Linked DNA regions of Sus scrofa. The protein of the gene in region 2 interacts with the protein of the main gene of each other region in a biochemical or structural test. Links are inferred from orthologs where the notes say so. Each region holds a gene or a part of one and is shown on either strand. Other genes may lie near its edges. The genes, in order: COPS6 and COPS7A.

Region 1 (3,600 bases), on a different chromosome or scaffold from region 2:
ATGATCTACACCAATGCGTTCAGCCTCCTCTGTGGCCAGGGTATAGGTCAGCTCAGCAAAAAGCATCGTGGCCTACAGGGCACAGAGAGAGAGTCAAAAGCAGGAAACACCGGGAGCAGGGTCTGAGAGTTGAAGGGTATGGCATTACCTCTCCATTGATGATATCTATAACAGACTCAAAGACGCTGACCGGAAGCTGTAAAGAGGAGATGGGCGAAGAGCTCTTAGTAACAGCACACGTACCTGAAGGGCCCCAAACCAGGCTTGGCCCTTTCGCATTCCGTTTTTCTATGTCCCCAAGTTACAAGTAGGAATTATCCCATTTTAGTACATGGGGGAAATGCAGTTTAGAGGTTAAATGACACCCAAAGTCTCAGCTGGTAAAGAGAAGGGAGAGTCAATTCAACAGAGGCGATACAGTAAAAAACAGGATGAGAATTAAAATCTGGGTAGGCATAGCAATGGACAAGCAGGACAAAGTAGCCACGGGCTCAGTATTACTCACATCTGTGTGCTTAGTCATAGGGTTCAACTTAAGAAACAAAGGGCTCTCAATTATCTCGCACACCTGGAAGAGGGGGCAGATGCACCTGAGTGCCAGGGCCCATTTTTCTCCCGCTCATCCTCTGTCCTCCGCCCCAACGTGCAAACGGAAGTGTGTATACCTGCTTATGGACGTGGATATCAGAGGGGTCAGGCGGTCCCCCTGTGGTATACCAACCCAGAAACTCCAGCTCCTTGAACACCTGTTTAACTGAGGAGGAAAGGGCCAGAGCACAGAGTATTTTTTTTTTTTTTTTAAATATCGCTTCTTTAATTTGAAGCTCCTGGTGGATTTTAACCAGCTTCTCCCCATCCCATCCCGGCTCAGTTTAGAGTAAGTCATCTCTTCTATCTTCTCCTTACTTTGTGGGAAGTAACCAAATATGTTCTTTTTTTTTTTTTTTTTTGGTCTTTTTTCCATTTCTAGGGCCGCTCCCGCAGCACATGGAGGTTCCCAGGCTAGGGGTCCAATTGGAGCTGTGTCCGTCGGCCTACACCACAGCCACAGCAATGCAGGATCCGAGCTGCACCTGCGACCTACACCACTGTTCATGGCAACACTGGATCCTTAACCCATTGAACAAGGCCAGGGATCGAACCCGCAACCTCATGGTTCCTAGTCGGATTCGTTAACCACTGAGCCACGACGGGAACTCCCAAATATGTTCTTTTTTAAAGATCTCTACAGCTACCTTCTCGTCACTTGGCCTCCATTCTGCTCATCTCCTGTTTATTTTTTTCCCCCCAACCCTCTCCACCTTCCCTATTCTGATTTTCTTTCTTTTTTTAACTCCCACTCCTCTCCCCCACCTCTATTCCCCTCTCACACTGCTCCTCCTTGGTGTAATAATATTCCTTGTCAATGATAATCTTCTCTTCCACGGTGTGGGACAGCAGCTCAAAGGAGTTCATCACCTCGATATTTCGGCCCTCCTGCTTCCCGATCAGAGCCCCAATCACTGGAGGAGAGGACACAAGAGGTGAGGGTAAAGAATCCTGAAACTTAGTTAAATCAGTATAGCCTGAGGGTCTGAGGTCAAGTGAACCCAGTACTAGGGAAACGGGTGGTTTGCGGCGGAAGAATTGGCTTCAGCAAAGGAAAGGGAAGGACCACCGTTTGGGGGAGATGACCAGGAAAAGAAGGCCAGAGAATTACGCCGAACACTCACCCTGCATAGGCCGCCCCTCCTGGGAGCGCATGCGAATCCAATGGTCTGAGATGTTGAGAATGACGAGGGGGTGAAGGGCGACTGAAACACTGCCAGTCACTCCGGAGGCCATCACGCTGGGGACGACTAAGCAGTTGGAAGAGAGGGTGAGAGTCCGGGTCCCACGTTCCCCCCGGGAGATGGGAGGGGAAGCCAGCAGAGCCGGGCCATACATCCCTCCCGCAAGTTATCCCAGGGAACGCGCCGCTGACCCGCCCTCCCGACTTCCCCGGGAGTCCAGGAAGGCCTTGACGCGCCCCAAGGGCGTCTCCAGAAGCCGCTCCCTCCCGGTCGGTTACCTGCTGCATCCACCTCCATCCCGCTGCTCCCTCCGGTCCCGTTCGCCGCAGCCGCCGCCGCCATTTCCCCCGCGCCCGCCAGTGTCGGCCCCGCCCCCTCCCTGCCGGCTTCCGTAGGCAGCAGCGCATGCTCAGTGCGGCCGTGGCGCGCGCCTGCCCAGACCCGCGCAGGCAGCCCTGGGTCGGGGAGAGCCGGCAGGTCTTAGTAGCCCTCTCGCCTGCCTCTGACCTTGAACAACTTACTTAACCGCACCCTGATCGTCCTAAAGTATACTGGGATTAGACTGCCTACTTTGTAAGGCTGCTGCAGCATGAATGAAACTTCATGTTGTTGCCCTCAGAGTAAAAGCCACACTCCTAACCACCTGCAAGACCCTGTAAGATCAGACCCCTGCCCGCCAGCCAGCCCTGGCCTCTGCTTTTCTGCCCTTTGATCGCCGTGCTTCAGCCACATTGGCTCTCGTGTCTGTTCCTTGCACACGTCTCACTCATCCCCACCGAAGGGCGTTCTGTCGCCTTTATCACTGTAACACGTGATCAAAACTACCTGACATATGGGCACCTAAATGATTTCTTTTTCGGGCCGCATTCACAGCATGCAGGAGTACTCGCACCAGGGACGGAACTCACGCCACAGCTGTAATCAGAGCCACAAAAGTTCAAATCCCGCTGAGCCACAGGGGAACTCCATAAATGATTTTTGAGTGAATGAATGGTTTGCCAGTGGAGCCTGGTCCTGAGTGCCTTGGTCTACACATCCTTTCTTTCCTCCTTCCACCTCATTACCTACAGCACTGAGAACATCCCTGGCATTTTCTAACCCCTCCCAACTTCCCTCTACCCTCCGTCTCCGTTAGTCTTTCAAAACTCACTTCTGGGAGTTCCCGTTGTGGTCAGCAGGTTAAGAACCCAACTAGTATCAATGAGGATGTGGGTTCGATACCTGGACTTGCTCAGTGGGTTAAGGATACAACGTTGCCACAAGCTGCAACAGAGGTCACGGATTGGGCTCAGATCTGACATTGGCTGTGGCATAGGCCAGCAGCTGCAGCTCGGATTCGACCCCTTGCTTGGGAACTTCCATATGCCAAGGGTGCGGCCCTAAAAAGAAAAAACAAAAAACCACCTCCGGCAAACCTAGCCCACTCCAGCCCTCTCCCCACCCCTACACCCGAGCAAGTTGTGTACACTGCCTTTACCCTGTCTTGTCGCCCCTACAATTTGGCTGGTTCTTTAGGTGTGTCTGTAACACACCCAAGTGTTAGCTCCTAAAAAGCAGGTAGAGACCTGTACCTTTACCTGCGGAGCCTACTCTGCTGCCCAGAGATGTTTTCTGGTGATAATAGTGACTGGTGCGAATTAAGCTATCTCTCCATTTAAGAGCCTGCATAAAGGGAAATTAAACGACCAGCAACTCTCAAAGTAAAGGCCTGAGAAATCCTGCAGGGAGGGAGATCTCCTGGCCAAAGGGAAGTTAAGAAAGCGTTCCTCTCCAAAGCAACAAGCAAACACAAAAAACAAAGGAAAGAATAAAGAAAGAGGAGCTCTCA
Region 2 (2,726 bases):
GGCGGGAGGAGGGTCAGCAGAGGGCTGCGAGCACAGACTCCCGAGACGGACACAGAGACACCCCGAGACCCGGGCAGCCGGAGCCCTGTCTGCGTTAGAAGCCTCGCCTGGCCCCGTGGAAACCACCTCAACGAGATCCCCGGGAGCCTTAAGGACACTCCGGTAGGCTAAGGGAGGAGAAAGCAAGTGCCTGGAGTGATGGGCGAGGAACTAAACCCACAACGGGGCAGGACGTGCTCCAGAGGAAGAAAAGAAGCTGTGTTAACGAACCCAAGTCAGATAAGAACACAGAGAAAACAGAAGTGAGAGAGGCCCAAGGCCTGTGGACAGCGCTGGTCATACTGCATCCTGCCTGGCCCACCCCCCAGGGAGGATCCCCTCAAGAGGACCCCCCCTTCCTCCTCCCAGTTCCTCTTCAGGCTCCTGGGGGGTGCCTCTGCCGCCCAGCCACCCCCCCCCCCCACCCCCGGCCTCCACCAAAGCAGCCCTCCCTTCTTGGGGCCAGCAGAGGAGGGACAGTGCCGGGACCCAGGTCTCACCACTCCTGCAGGGTTCGGGCAATGGCACTGAGGTCCTGGCGCTGGATGTCCCGCCCGATGCTGTAGTCAACCTCCAGCCGCTGGTTGCGCTGGTCCAGGGAGCCGCGAAGCACGTCGGCGTACACGGCCTCGATGACCAGGTCCTCCAGCTGCCGCACGTTCCGCAGGGCCAGGGCCTCCAGCAGCACTGCATATGGGATACACTGGGGCCCGGAGGTCGGGCTGCGGTCTGTGAGGTTCCGCACAGAGAAGGGCTTCCAAGATTCTTCTTCCCTCCTTCCCCCACTGCCCGCCCTCCAGTCCTCCTCCTCAATCACTTTCCGTAAAAGGCAGGTTCTAAGGCAAAATAAATGAAAGTATTCCCACCTGATAAATAACATCCTAAGAAAGAGAATCGTTCACATTTATGTATTTATGACTGTTGTTGTCTTTTTTGACGGCCCCACCTGTGGCACAGAGGTTTCCAGGCTAGGGGGCAAATCAGAGCTGCAGCTGTCAGCCTACACCACAGCCACAGCAACCCCGGATCCGTGCCGCATCTGCGACCTACACAGCAGCTTGTGGCAACGCCAAATCCTTAACCCACTGAGCATGGCCAGGGGTTGAACCTGCATCCTCACAGACACTATGTCAGGTTCTTATGCCACTGAGCCACAATGGGAACTTTTTTTTTTAATATTATTTTCCTTTCTGCAACTTTTTTTTCAGGCACACCCACACCATGGGGAAGTTCCTGGGCCAGGGATCAAACCCGAGACACAGCAGGGAACCAAACCTCAGCACTGGCAACGCCTGATTCTTACCCTGCAAGGCTACTGGAGAACTCCAAAAAGGACAATCTTAAGGAAAACATTTATGCTCCCCTCAATGCCCAGCCCACCACAGGGTGACATCTGCCTGGGTGTCAACCCTCTGGCTCAGCTCAGGACAGTACACGGATGTGGTCAAGACGAGCTTGACCTACGGGACGCTGTGGTGGAGGAGAGGCTGGAGCTCTTCTGTTTATCATTTATACACGGTCTCCTTCCAAAGAGGCAGTGAGCCTGATTTAAGCCAAACCATGGGGATGATGGGAGAGTCAGGGAACAACTGGGAGATGCAGATGGGCAAACAGTTAACAAGAATGGAACCCAACAGGAAATACAAAGATGCTTCTGGGTTATGTATTTTTTATTCAAGCAAATAGAAGCCTGCTACGTCACCAGGAGCGAGTGTGTCCCAGCTCTGGCCACTGCAGCTGCTTCCACGGACTTCATACAGTGGGAGGAATGGGCTGAGGAATAACACAGTGAGTGGCATCCTAGCTGCTATTCTGACCTGACACACAAAAGATGTTTTACTTAGAACATAAGTGGGTTGAAAAACAAAATAGAGGAGTTCTGGTTGTGCCACAGCAGAAATGAATCTGACTAGTAACCAAGAGGTTGTGGGTTCGATCCCTGGCCTTGCCCAGTGGGTTAAGGATCCAGCGTTGCCATAAGCTGTGGTGCAGGTCACAGATGTTGCTCGGATCCTGCACTGCTGCGGCTGTGGCACAGGCAGGCAGCTGTAGCTCTGCTTCGACCCCTCACCTGGGAACCTCCATATGCCGTGGGTGTGGCCATAAAAAGCAATAAAAAAAAAAAAAAAAAAAGAAAAACAAAATAGAAAGCTGGGAGAATAACGTTCCACCTAAAGGGCCACAGGTATCAGAGTAAGACACAGACCTTGGAGGAATGTGGGGAAACAGGAAGAAGCACCACTGTGGTCAAAGCTGTCCCAGTGCAATTCCCTTCAGATGGGCCCTTGTGAAGCCGACACAAAAAAGTGCTCCCTGGCTCAGGACTGGGGGGTCTGTCACTCACCTTGACCTTGGCAGCCAGGGTGACAACTGACAGGTGTCTAAGCTTATTCTTCTGAGCCTCTGTGAGTGGGGGAAGATTCCGGGCTTCAGCTAGAAAAAAAAAACAAGGTATAGAAAATCCTGATTTCACTTGTGTGGGAAGCCCTAGCCTCTCTCCTCTTGATTTTTCTTTTCTTTTCTTTTTTTTTTTTTTTTGAGTTTTCTGTGCCAATTTGGGTCTTGACCTTGACCCTGTACCTATGGGATCTAAGTCAGGTATCTCAAGAATTTCTTCTACATAAACTGCCCATCTCCCATCTCCAGAGTTCCGGCCCCTCCGGATACCTAAGTAGTCAGCGTATGTC

What was found.
Region 1: the proteins of COPS7A (region 2) and COPS6 form a complex in vitro, tested with the Homo sapiens proteins (3 studies listed by BioGRID, with this or other methods). The link is inferred for Sus scrofa from reciprocal best matches to the Homo sapiens genes COPS7A and COPS6.

What each region holds. Positions count from the first base shown.
Region 1 is NC_010445.4:8,001,255-8,004,854, reverse strand, and holds the start of COPS6 (COP9 signalosome complex subunit 6), read right to left. Parts: upstream 2,154-3,600; 5' UTR 2,115-2,153; coding exon 2,051-2,114; intron 1,839-2,050; coding exon 1,713-1,838; intron 1,503-1,712; coding exon 1,371-1,502; intron 755-1,370; coding exon 666-754; intron 569-665; coding exon 506-568; intron 197-505; coding exon 149-196; intron 73-148; coding exon 1-72. UniProt on the Homo sapiens protein: Component of the COP9 signalosome complex (CSN), a complex involved in various cellular and developmental processes.
Region 2 is NC_010447.5:63,971,992-63,974,717, forward strand, and holds part of COPS7A (COP9 signalosome complex subunit 7a), read right to left. Parts: coding exon 2,707-2,726; intron 2,473-2,706; coding exon 2,384-2,472; intron 743-2,383; coding exon 540-742; intron 1-539.